Linked DNA regions of Drosophila melanogaster. Changing the gene in region 1 together with any one later gene gives a genetic interaction. Each region holds a gene or a part of one and is shown in the gene's direction. Other genes may lie near its edges.

What was found.
Region 2: of emb (region 1) and mbo, changing one suppresses a phenotype caused by changing the other (phenotypic suppression), as found in Drosophila melanogaster (one study listed by BioGRID).

The regions. Positions count from the first base shown.
Region 1 is NT_033779.5:8,401,516-8,409,888, forward strand, and holds emb (embargoed), read left to right. Parts: upstream 1-2,057; 5' UTR 2,058-2,145; intron 2,146-2,192; exon of another isoform or gene 2,193-2,409; intron 2,410-2,489; 5' UTR 2,490-2,772; coding exon 2,773-4,264; intron 4,265-4,400; coding exon 4,401-4,771; intron 4,772-4,860; coding exon 4,861-5,340; intron 5,341-5,408; coding exon 5,409-5,741; intron 5,742-5,807; coding exon 5,808-6,173; intron 6,174-6,259; coding exon 6,260-6,409; 3' UTR 6,410-7,338; downstream 7,339-8,373. Other genes in the region: fy (fuzzy), read right to left, coding at 199-256, 316-1,430, 1,489-1,566; Naglu (N-acetyl-alpha-glucosaminidase), read right to left, coding at 7,614-8,373. UniProt on the Drosophila melanogaster protein: Receptor for the leucine-rich nuclear export signal (NES). Binds cooperatively to the NES on its target protein and to the small GTPase Ran in its active GTP-bound form.
Region 2 is NT_033777.3:12,675,626-12,681,058, reverse strand, and holds mbo (members only), read left to right. Parts: upstream 1-2,006; 5' UTR 2,007-2,057; coding exon 2,058-4,166; 3' UTR 4,167-4,572; downstream 4,573-5,433. Other genes in the region: Cyp313a4 (cytochrome P450 313a4), read left to right, coding at 1-170, 224-409, 569-641, 685-811, 871-1,456, 1,524-1,684; CG43630 (uncharacterized protein), read left to right, coding at 4,803-4,949; Gnmt (glycine N-methyltransferase), read right to left, coding at 5,054-5,323.

The DNA.
Region 1 (8,373 bases):
TAAGGACGGAATTGTAAGTCATTAAAGCCATATTAGTATGTAGCATATACATATAAGATTTGTCAAAAATTACGCTTAACTTTAGAAAAGGAGTTGTACCCTATTGTTCGTTAAATATAATGTCATTTAAAAAAAAACATTATTTCATGGAAAAGTAGTAACAAAAATCAGTCTTTAGGCTTAGAAAGAAATATCGTATCACCAACATACTGACTTCTCCTGGAGTATATTAGCATGGATGCGTTGCGCAAGGAATCTGTAAATACAATACTGATTTTAAAACCTTGTCATCAAAGTAAATAATTATAATCGCACCTCATTGCGTGCGAGGGCACCGCTGCCACAAACAACAAGAATATGACATTGCCCAGCTCATCCATATGGGCATAGCACTTGTGGTAGTCCGAGCAGCTATATTGGTCCACTAACGTAGTTTTATTGCTGGACGACTGGGTTTCAAATTGGTGGACTGCATCCATAGTTTGATCGAAAAACTTCTTTAGAATGTCCAAGCGCTGTAGATCGCCCACAATGATGCGCTTGACACTCGCCGACTGGTTTAGATTTCTGGTAAAGAGACTTTTTCGCGTGTGTCGGTTAATTAGAATGATGGCCAGCACATTTCCATCGATCTCCAGATGCTCGGGCAGACTGCGCGGCACGCATCGCTCGGCGGCTGCCAAAAGGTTGCCTTCATTCCGGTAGGCACTCATGGCATGTGCATGCAACTCTCGGAACGAGGCATTCTCAGCGCCACACAGGACACACAGAGCACTGTTCGACGCCACAGGAATACTGACAAAGCGGTAGGCTATATGGGGACTTTTCACGGGCAAATAGACCGGCACATCGTGTTGCATTGTGCTCGACGAATTCAACAGAAACAGCAGCAGCTCGCGGTCCCGAGTGTCCAGATCCCACCAGCCCTCAGTGGCCACAGCGATACGGTGTCCCACAACCAGGCAGCAAAAGAGCGAGCCACAGTGGCCACTAAATTCATTTAGACACTGCAGCAGCTGGGCGTTTTCCGCCGCCAGCAGACAGTCCGTGTAGCCCAGGAGTTGTGTACCCGCACAGGCGGCTTCCAGAATAGCGTCAACAATCGGGACATACTTCTTGGCGTCCTTCTTCAGTCTATCGAGGAGCGTTGCATGTGCCATTTCTGCGGCCCGGGTAATGAACATGCCTATCGCTCCAAAGACAAGATCAGCCAGCGTCTGAAGCAGTTGCTCCGACCCAACACCGCAGCCGCACACGATCAGGGTGATGGATTCCCGGTCGCGCCATATGTAAGTCCACTCCTCGGCATCCGCGGGAGCCTGATTCTGGATAGGCTGCTGTTTGCTGGTCGTCGTGGCCTCCAGTTGGATTCCCAGCGACTTAAAGAACATGTGAAAGCCGTTTAAGGAGGCCACCGTCGAGAAGGGCAGCTGGATATGGAGAAAGGGTATTAACTAAGTGAATAGGTAGGCAATATGTTACTCTTACATTTTCGCATTCTCCCTTCTTTCGTGTAAACACTGGCAATCCGCCGTTTGTTGTCAAACATAACAAATAGATGGACATCGCAGCTCTTCTTCTTCGCCGAACCTGCTACGTATGATGCTTACATCGATTAAATCGATTCGTTTTGAATTATCGAAAATAAGCGATGCACTAGTAAATTAATATGATTTATTTTAAACTTTTATCTGAATTACTTGCATACTTTTAGTGTTTTAATGTAATAAATCAGTAAGATGCAGTATTTTGTAGCTGATTCAGGAGAACAGATCAAATTCAAATATATTTATGTCAATTTATGCATGCATGCATACTGGTTTGTTTTTCCATTAAATTAAACAGATAATATTTTTTTGTATTTTTTTTTAAAACATCGCTGCTTAAAACATCGATGTTTTTCGATATCAGGGACATCGATGTTTCTGGCAGTAAGTAAGCCAACAAACTAAGCATCTTCATCCATGCCATTTGATTATTTTATTCGATCAACGTTATCGATCACTTTGCGTGCATGCCTGTAGACCAGGGCTGTGGACGTATGTTTGTTCAGCACCATACGGGCACACTGTTCTCACAAATTGCATTTCGCATTGTCCGTCGTCGTCGTTTTCACACGCTGCTCTTTTCTGGAATCGGTAAAAGGTAAGCTTGATATGTGAATTACATGTTCATGATTGTTAATTAATTACACACTGCGTCCTCGCTGGCGCGTTTTGAAAAGCTAAGAAAATTTGGGAAATGCCGCCGCAGTCTTGTCGCATTTGCGGCGGCGATGCGTTCGCCTGTGCCAGTGTGTGCGTATGTGTGGTGTGCCGAGCGCTTGTATGTGTGCGAGTGCGAAAAAGTGTAGCGCGCGCAGGCAACAGCGTGCGCTTGTAGTTGTGTGTTCCAAAAAAATGAAACAAGAAAACAAAAAAGAAATATGGTTGCCTGTCGACAGGCGTAAAAGTACGCAATATGTATAACCAACGGTCTTATTTCCACAGCTTCAGGTCCAGTCCCGGCACCAGATCCAGATCCCGATCCAGATCGAGAGTCGCCGCTCCTCACCGTCATCATAGTGCGAAGAAGAAGAAGCTGAAGCAGAAGCCGCCGCGCACTTTCGATAAATAAAGTGGAAAAAAAAAACAGCAAAAACAAGAAATCCAAAGGGAAAAAACGTGAGATCCGAGCTCATCCGGCGGAGGAGGAAGCCAAGAAGCTATCAAAATTAACGCGGACACAACTGCAGAGCGACGCCGACGCGAACGCCGCTTCTACTACAAAGCGATGGCGACAATGTTGACATCGGACGAGGCGGGCAAGCTGCTCGACTTCTCCCAGAAGCTGGACATTAATCTGCTGGACAAGATCGTCGAGGTTGTGTACACAGCGCAGGGCGAGCAGTTGCGTCTAGCCCAGAGCATACTGACCACGCTGAAGGAGCATCCAGAGGCATGGACGCGGGTGGACAGCATATTGGAGTACTCACAGAACCAGCGGACCAAGTTTTATGCTCTGCAAATCCTCGAGGAGGTCATCAAAACGCGCTGGAAGGTCCTGCCGCGCAACCAGTGCGAGGGAATCAAGAAGTATGTGGTCAGTCTTATCATCAAGACCTCGTCGGATCCCATTGTTATGGAGCAGAACAAAGTGTATCTGAATAAGCTAAACATGATTCTGGTCCACATTCTAAAGCGCGAATGGCCACGCAACTGGGAGACATTCATCAGTGACATTGTCGGTGCGTCGAAAACGAACGAGAGCCTGTGCATGAACAACATGGTAATCCTGAAGAACCTTAGTGAGGAGGTGTTCGACTTTTCGCAGGGTCAGATCACGCAGACTAAGGCCAAGCACCTGAAAGACACCATGTGCTCGGAGTTCTCTCAGATCTTTACACTATGCTCCTTCGTGCTGGAGAACTCGATGAATGCCGCCCTAATCCATGTCACGCTGGAGACTCTGCTGAGGTTCCTTAACTGGATACCGCTGGGCTACATCTTTGAAACGCAGCAAATTGAAACGCTGATATTCAAATTCCTTAGCGTACCCATGTTCCGCAATGTGACCCTGAAGTGTCTGTCCGAGATCGCCGGCCTGACTGCGGCAAACTACGACGAGAATTTCGCGACGCTCTTCAAGGACACGATGGTTCAGTTGGAACAGATAGTCGGCCAGAATATGAACATGAACCATGTGTTTAAGCATGGTTCCGACACAGAGCAGGAGCTGGTCCTTAATTTGGCCATGTTCCTGTGCACCTTCCTCAAGGAGCACGGCAAACTGGTGGAGGATGCCAAGTATGTGGACTACCTGAATCAGGCGCTCATGTATTTGGTGATGATTAGCGAGGTGGAGGACGTGGAAGTATTCAAGATCTGTCTGGAATACTGGAACAGCCTTGTGGAGGATCTATACAATTCGGAATTCTTCCACCCCACCCTGGAGTCTACAAAGAGGCAACAAGTGTATCCCCGTCGACGTTTCTACGCCCCCATCCTGTCCAAAGTGCGATTCATTATGATCTCGCGCATGGCCAAGCCGGAGGAGGTGCTGGTGGTGGAGAACGAAAACGGGGAAGTGGTGCGCGAGTTCATGAAGGACACAAACTCAATAAACCTGTACAAGAACATGCGCGAAACGCTGGTCTTTCTTACCCATTTGGACTCTGTGGACACGGACCGCATCATGACGCTAAAGCTGCTTAATCAGGTGAACGGATCGGAATTCTCTTGGAAGAACCTGAACACGTTGTGCTGGGCCATTGGTTCCATATCCGGTGAGCCATTTTTGGTGTTTTATTCCCAGTCTGTACTTGGTTTTTATAAATCACAAACATTCATTCCTGATTATCATGGACCACCATTATTTCCGAGTATAACCCTATTTTTTTTTGTGCTTTTATCACTCTTCAGGTGCTTTTTGTGAAGAGGACGAAAAACGGTTCCTGGTCACCGTGATCAAGGATCTATTAGGCCTGTGCGAACAGAAGAAGGGCAAGGACAACAAGGCCATTATTGCCTCCAATATCATGTATGTGGTGGGACAGTATCCACGCTTCCTGCGCGCCCATTGGAAGTTCCTCAAGACGGTGGTAAACAAACTCTTCGAATTTATGCACGAAACGCACGATGGTGTCCAGGATATGGCATGCGATACGTTCATCAAGATAGCCATCAAATGCCGCCGCTACTTTGTCACCATCCAGCCGAATGAGGCATGCACCTTTATTGACGAGATTCTCACAACAATGAGCAGCATCATTTGTGATCTGCAGCCGCAGCAGGTAGTGGCTTTTTTTAATTACAATATTATTATACCTACATTTGAAGCTTAATCAGTAAAAGCTATACTAATGTATAAATTCATTTGTAGGTTCACACGTTCTATGAAGCTGTCGGCTACATGATCTCCGCCCAGGTGGATCAGGTACAACAGGACGTCCTCATCGAGAGGTACATGCAACTGCCCAACCAGGTGTGGGATGACATCATCTCCCGCGCCTCGAAAAACGTTGACTTCTTGAAGAACATGACCGCTGTCAAGCAGCTGGGCAGCATCCTTAAAACGAATGTGGCTGCCTGCAAAGCCCTGGGTCACGCGTATGTCATTCAACTGGGCCGCATATATCTGGACATGCTGAATGTGTACAAGATAACATCAGAGAATATCATTCAGGCCATCGAGGTGAATGGCGTCAATGTGAACAATCAGCCCCTGATCAAAACCATGCATGTGGTCAAGAAGGAGACGCTTAACTTGATATCCGAGTGGGTGTCTCGTTCCAACGACAATCAGTTGGTGATGGACAATTTCATACCGCCTTTGCTGGACGCTATACTGCTAGATTATCAGGTAACTTTCAAAACTCACAATGAATACATAATACATTAATACTAATGTTATTTTTCCTTATTTTGTAGCGCTGCAAAGTTCCATCGGCACGGGAGCCCAAGGTTTTAAGTGCGATGGCAATCATTGTGCATAAACTGCGTCAGCATATCACAAATGAAGTACCAAAAATATTTGACGCCGTCTTCGAGTGCACGCTGGACATGATCAACAAGAACTTTGAAGATTTCCCACAGCACAGACTTAGTTTCTACGAGCTACTGCAGGCGGTCAATGCGCACTGCTTTAAGGCGTTCCTTAATATACCGCCGGCTCAGTTCAAACTGGTCTTCGACTCGGTGGTGTGGGCATTCAAGCATACCATGCGGAATGTGGCCGACATGGGATTGAATATCCTATTTAAGGTACATTCACTAATTAAACTTGCTTATCGGTTTTTTTTGTTTATTAACGGGTATTTTCAATTTCAGATGCTTCAAAACTTAGATCAGCATCCCGGTGCGGCGCAGAGCTTCTATCAGACGTACTTTACAGATATTCTAATGCAGATATTTTCGGTGGTCACTGACACCTCACACACGGCCGGGTTGCCCAATCATGCCATCATTCTGGCGTACATGTTCTCACTGGTGGAGAACAGGAAGATTACGGTGAACCTGGGTCCGATTCCGGATAATATGATATTCATACAGGAATATGTCGCGTCGCTGCTGAAATCGGCATTTACCCATCTGTCCGATAATCAGGTCAAAGTCTTTGTCACTGGCTTATTCAATTTAGACGAGAATGTGCAAGCATTTAAGGAGCATTTGAGAGATTTTCTCATACAGATTCGCGTGAGTATTTATCAAATGATGGCCATTAAAGCTGGCCAACTGCTAGTAAATATCATTTACCTTAATGTATATAAATTGAATTGCAGGAGGCCACCGGCGAGGACGATTCCGATCTGTACTTGGAAGAGCGTGAAGCGGCTCTGGCCGAGGAGCAGTCAAATAAACATCAGATGCAGCGTAATATTCCAGGAATGTTGAATCCGCACGAGTTGCCCGAGGATATGCAGGACGAATAGATGTCGATGTCGATGTCGATGTCACTGAGCTAGAATGTTTTAGTTGATGCTTGAGAATGATAAAAGGATGGTGATGTATGAGTGTTTCTCGAGCGAGAAAGTATAAATGTTTGTTTGATTGAATGCATATAAGTACGTTATATATATAAATACATCCACACAAGACCCACAACACTTGCATACACACACATACACATACACCTATACAGATATAGCTGCGTTAAAAGGTGAATGAGTAAATGGTTATTCGTGCGCAATTACATACATTAATATGATTAACATATTTTTGCGCATTGTCCTCGACATACCAGCATAAATAAGATGCCCAGCCAGTTCCCAACTCCCGCTCCCCTATCCACATTATATAGTTGTAAAACGTCATAATAATACTACACGCAACCGATACGAAAGATGCAAACTTTATTGTACTAATATAAAATAATGTTTGTTTGGAATTTTTTAAATGAGTAATTGTAGAAAGATCCGAGTATGAATGAATATTTGAACAAACACAAACACACCTCTCAGAGAAACCCACACAAAAATGAGCAAAGGAAACAAGAATATTAAGATGAAGAAAACCTTAAAGTAAAAATTTAATTGTAGTGACTTAAACAGATCAGATGCTGGCAGGAGTAAACAAAATTGTATGCAATCTTTTTGCATAAATCTAGCATTAACCCGACGTTGAAGACGATGGACGCCGCAATAAGGAGACGATCAAGAAAGCACGGCATCATAACCAGAATAGAGTTCATGCAATGTGTGAAAAAAAAAGAAAACTAAAACGCAAATACCCAAAACACAAATACATCAAGAAAAACAAAAGTAACCATAGAAATGCGTATTAAATCGTTTAAATTTTTACATAATTAGTTTGTACATTAATTTAAATAAAAATCAATTAAAACTACATTGATGTATGATGCAAAGCCACATTTAAGTTTCAATTGTAACGATTTTGATAGTAATATAGTGTACGTATCTAATCTCGTGGAATTTCGCAATTGATTGAAACATTATTGGATTGATGCCAATCAATTTTGAAAGTTTGGTGGGATATCTGTATATCTGAAATGTTTTCGTTTAATCCTTGAGCAACTAGTGTCAAAAGATTTTTATTTCGAATATTTAAAGTCAATTTTAGAGAAAAGTTTATTAAACGTTTGTTGTGGCAGTTGTATTGAACTATAGGTAGATACAATTATTTAGGTCCCGCTTTTTGAGGCACTGATAATCTGTTGTTATGTAGAAAGAGCGTGTCCTTAGAGTAGCCCTTCCAGGTTTCGAAAATGTCCTGGGAAATAAGCCAGGTGTTGCCAACTGGCGTCACGGGATAAACGTCGTCTTTGTTGCTAAAAGGCAGCTCGATTTCGTGCGAGACTTTCAGCTTGAAAGCGGTACCATTAAAGGGTCGTCCAGCATGGAGAGCCACTGTCACATCTTCCAGGAAGAGTCTCCACCGAGGCCTATAGTAGTCGCTCACCAAGCCGGACCACTGTTTGCACGCATAGTCCAGGATCTGACCATCAGGACCCCAGGCGGTAATTTGGTTTCTCGCATTGAATTCGAAGTTTCTTTGTTGCCCAGTGTTCGGTGCCGCTTGCTTGGCCTGCTGCAGCCAGTTGCCGAGCAGAAAATTCCTGCTGCTCGCCAGGATCAGCTCCATGTCATCGAACAGTTTCAACAGCTTGACGCTAAGGAATTCGAAACGCGAAACCTGTCGCTTTCTATAGGCCGACCTTAGATTGATATACAACTGATCTGCGCTGATCTGCAGGAATTGCCTGGTTATGTCCACCAAATCGTGTTCGTATATCTCGTATCTGTTATCCTCTAGCGGTATGATGGCTCTGAAGGTCAGCAACAAGTGCCAGGCATCCAGCACTGCACTTGCATTGTACCAAGTGAAGGGTTCTTGGTTGAAGGAAGGCCTGCGCGTCACTACATACTGTCCCCGCATT
Region 2 (5,433 bases), on another chromosome or scaffold:
CGACAAGCACGGTCCGACAATTTTCTCCTGGCTGGGGCCCATTCCCTTTATGATTGTGAGTGATCCCCAAGTGGTGCAGGATATCTTCACATCTCCCCACTGCGTCAACAAGGGCATTATTTACAAGGCAGTGGACGATGGCGCCGGAGTTGGATTATTCAGCCTGAAGGGTGTGTGTCTATGGAATCGAGTGTGGGAGTTACTTAAGTGTGGATTTGTGTAGATCCCCGCTGGAGCATCCATCGGAAGCTGCTGAATCCCGCCTTCGGCCACAAGGTGCTACTCAGCTTCCTGCCCATTTTCAACCGGGAGACGGCCCTTCTGCTCGATCAACTCGAACCACTGCAGGATGACGGCGAGAAGGATCTCATTCCACTGCTGCAGAGCTTCACCCTGGGAATTGCCACCCGTGAGTAAAGAAGAATGTGTTGTTTGTTTAAAAAAAGACTCATAAATTATGGCTATCACGTTTGTTGTTTGCATACAAAGTGGTCGAAAGCCAGAATGCATAATTCAGTTAGAAGAGTCGATCTGATATTAAATATATGATATACTTATATGAAAGCAGAAACCACCATGGGCAGCGATGTAAAGGATGAAGAGAGCTTCAGGAGCAATTCCTTGCTGGGGCGATACCAATGGTGAGTTTTGACTTGGAATCGGAATGCATCTATCCATTAATAGCATCCTGGAAACCATGACAGATATGTGCTTCTCTCCGTGGCTCAATAGCCGATTTTGCCGGCAGCTGGCTGGAAAGGAATCGCACTACTACCAGGCCAAAACTGAGATTCGTCAGTTTATTCGGAAGGTGAGCACCTCCAACTACTCCCTCCGCTTATTCACTTACGAATCTCTTAACCCCTTTAGATAATTGAGAGAAAGTTGGCCGAGGACGAAATGGGAGCACTACCTTCCATCCAGTCCAATGATAAAAACCTATTTCTAAATCTGGTCACGGATTTGATGAGACGAGGAGTGTTTACCCTGAAGAATGTTGAGGATGAGTCGAATATCATCGTTTTTGGAGCTTTTGAGACCACGGCTAATGCAGTGTACTACACCCTGATGTTGCTGGCGATGTTTCCGGAATACCAGGAGAGGGCCTTTGAGGAAATAAAGACGATATTCCCAAACACAGGAGACTTTGATGTATCCTACGCGGACACCCAGCAGATGGTGTACCTTGACCTGATCCTCAACGAATCCATGAGAGTAATACCCCCTGTTCCTGTCGTATCCCGACAAACGTCTCAGGATCTGAAGCTGTCCAATGGTATAGTGGTTCCCAAAGGGGTCCAGATCGCCATCGACATTTATCACATGCACAGAAGCAAAAAGATCTGGGGTCCGGATGCGGAGACCTTCAACCCAGATCATTTCCTCCCCCACAACATCCAGGACAAGCATCCGTACGCCTATATACCTTTTACCAAGGGCATTCGAAATTGCATAGGTAACAGAGTGATCGCTAATTTATGACCATTGTTTTAGCTATATTCTTATTATTTCCTTCTGTTTAGGTTGGAGATATGCCTTAATATCGGCGAAAGTTACATTAGCCAAGTTATTGCGGAATTATAGGTTTAAAACGAGTTTTCCCTTCGAAAATCTATACTTTGTTGAAGATATTACGATGAAGTTGAAATCTGTGCCACTGTTGGAGCTCCAAAAGAGAACTTAAATGTTTATAGCACTTAGTGATTTTAAATAGATTATTAAAAGTTGTTGAATTAATGGGTTCTGTGAATTATACCAATATTAAAAAATAATAACATCTACCTTTTATAATCTTTTATTAACTATTAATCAATTATTCCATTTTTTAAATTTATAGCATGATTTATGCTAACGTCTTTCGTTGAAAAGTTTAAGCAGCAATAATTATTAGTACATTTTCCGAAAATGTTGGTGTTAGCGTTTTTTTAACAAATTTCTTGTTTCATGAATTCGAATTAAAAAAATACTAAAAAAAAATACTTTGCGGATTTCCGAAGACTACTATCACACTAGCATTGACTTACAAGCCGGGCAACGAATTGAAGCATAAACAAACGATGTCGCTCACCGATGTCTTGGAATTGAACAAAACGGAGTTGTTCGCGAAGATTCGCAATGGGTTGCCCGTGGTGCAAAGGACTCAGAACCTGCTGGACTGCAAGGACGATCTGCTCTTTGCCTGGCACGCGAAGGACAGCTGTCTGTTGGTTCGCAACTGGCGCTCATCGCTGGCGGCAAAGGTGAATATCCAGTTCCAGACACTGATTCCATCGAGCTTGGTGAGCCTGGAGGTGGACCGCGTGCTGGCCTCCAACGAGGGCTCCCTCGTGGCACTAAGTGGACCGCGCGGCGTTGTCATAATGGAGCTGCCCCGCCGCTGGGGCCCCGATGGATACTACAAGGATGGCAAGCCAGTGATCACCTGCCGCACGTTCGGCCTGGACACTCAGCTTTTCCTAAAAAACCCGCACTTGGAAGTGCGCCAGGTCCGCTGGCATCCGCACTCCGTGTCAGACTCCACGCTGCTCGTGCTGCTCAACAACAACACGATTCGAGTGTACAATCACTCCAAGTTGCGCCACGTGTGGCAGGTGGGTCCCCCGGTGCTTCGAAGTGGGGCCAATAACTCGCTATGCGACTTTGGCGAGCTAGCCGTTGACTTTGACATCGCTCCTGCTGCAAAACCACGTGTCACTGAACCAGAAACAGCCGGCAATAACGAAACCACTTTGGATAAGAGCAACAAAACCCTTGTGGCGGCCAAATCGCTGCCGAAACAGGAGAGGATAGAGTGGCCCATGGTTGTGCTCCGCGAGAATGGAAACATCTACATTTTGATGACCGGCGTGGATTCGGAGAATACGCGCCTGCAGGGCCCCGTTACCATAACGCCACAGGCACATGACAATTATGGACTGGAGTCCTGTGCCCTAATGATTATCCCATCACTTCCGCCGACCATTGTTATAGCTGAATCCAATGGAAAGCTTCACCATGCTCTGCTTATGGAGGCGGAGGCCACTGAGCATTCTTTCAATGAGGTTGACGACTCTGTGTTGATTGAACCCGCCGAATACGTTGTACATGTACTAGAAACTGTCGAACTTGAGCTGGGAATATCTGCACCCGCAACTGGAAAAGAAGGAGGCAACTGTCCCATATACTTAAAGCGGGATTTGATCAATGAGCTTCGCTACTTTGCCTACCACAACGCAGGACTTCATGCCGTTACGGTCAGCTTTATCGCAGAGCTGCAACGTTACTTGGAAAGCGAGTCCGATGAAGATCGTCTAGAGCTGGCGGTCTCTGCAAGTGCAGAGTACATTCTGTGCACAAAATTCGATTCCAGTGAGACGGTGAACGCAGTCTTTGGACTTGCCCTATTACAAATTCCTGCCGGTATAGTTCTACTGCTGGGCAGCGGTCAGGTGATTAGCCTTAAGCTGGTAATTGATGCCCAGCTGTTGGTTACACCTAATGAGAATAAGCCAGTTGACTCGGAAGTGTCTCAGCAGGAAAGTGGGCCACCGTTTGTCGATACGATTAAATCGCTTTTGCAACGTAGTGTTAACCAGCCCATCTTGGCGGATAAACTTTCCTCGCCATCCGCCCAGGAGAGCTTCGAACTGCTTAACCAGGCAATCGAGGTGCTTCGTGAGCAGTACCTTAAACGACATGACCTTGTGCGCGCCGCATTTACACGCCACATCAACCAGATCCAGCTGAAGAAGGAACAACAGCTGCAGGAGATCCAAGACCTGGAGCAGGAACGCGAACTGATCAGCGAGCGGGCCCACAAGCTTGCCGAGCGCTTCGAGGAGATTAGCTACAACCAGGAGCTGCTCGTCCGCAAGTGCAACGCTCTGATGCAGAGGGCCAATGCCTCACTACCCAATAGTGTGATTGCGGAACGGGAGTTTTCGCAGGAGGTGATTCGACTTAATAAGGTCACCCAGAGCCTGGCCGCTGGACTGGAGACTGCTAAGAAGACGTTTAACAAGCAGCGCTACCACATTGCCCAGAGTCAAGAGGACCTCAAGAAGAACGCGTACGAGCTGCCGGAGAAACAGCACCGCACTATCACCGAGATACTTACCCAGCTAACCGGGGAGATCGATCGCCAGATCACCGACGTCAAGCGCATTAATAAAATCGTTGGCATCTAAATTCGGATTGGGAAGCACGCTCTTAAGATTTCACCACGTTTTCGTGATAGTAAAGCCGTTGCGTAGAACTAAAACGTATTTTTAATAAACATGTCAATTAAGTCCTATTTTCGTTAGCTGGCTTCTGTTTTTTGTATTCGATGACACTTTAATGAGCATACGTCAGCGTTTTCTGCTAGACGATCCTTCATGAAGACACAAAAACATTTGATACCCATGGGTATTGTGCTACAAAGTCTACTACAGTAAAATCTATTCTTGACGTACTGTCCCATTTTCCGGATTATAGTTCAAAAAGTAAAATAATAGTAATAAAATAATAATAAGAATAAAATAATGAATAATAATAGTAGACTTCATACATCATAATTCGGAAATACAAAGTATTGTAGTACTGCTGTAACATAGTTTTCCAACTTTCAGCTCCACTGTTATTAGAATACCACAAATTTTTCTAGTATTTGGTTTTTAAAGTATCGCATTTCGATCGTTACTCATTTTCTCTGCAAAGCAGAACCCATTGAAAACGTAATGGAAAAGCATTTGCAAGGCTAATGACACTCGCCCCAAGAATTGAGGGTTTCGATAGCTATTGCGTTTTAGTGACAGTCTAAAGCGAAGTTCGGCGGACGAGAGATGACGTTGATACTACTGGCTGCCCTGTCGAACATCTACACCGGGATGTTCAACTACGTGAAGGCCAAATTCCCGTTCGTGATCGAGGCCGCCATGGTGACCCTGTGCTTTGGCTCCATCGTGGGTCGATTCTGCATAATGGTTTAGAAGAAAACTGAGGAGACTCGAGACTGTGCGAATCGAAGGAACTTTATGTATATTTATATGGATGTGTCTTGTGGCCTTATGTGAATACAACTAAAAACTTAAATCTAAACCTGTGGCTTTTCGATCAGGTGAATGTAGAAGGCGGGGTTCTTCACCTGGCTCATCTCCTTGAAGTCACCATACAACTGGTGCTTGGCTTTGGCGGAGAAGATCTCGGCTAGAATCTCCTGGAATCGTTTCAGCCCGTGGGGATAGTAGGACAGACGGAACTCACTGGTCAACTTGTTGCCAGCGATCAGGTAGTCCATCGACACCAGGGCGGGCTTACCGCAGTAGAAGAGCACGGATGTCTTGATGTCCGCCGTGTGACTCGTCTGCAATTAGAAGCAAGTCATCATTGGATTATTGGATTAATTGAATCGAAAGATGTGTAACTGATAAGGCGATTGATGATTATGATGTGTTATGTGGGGTTCACAAACAA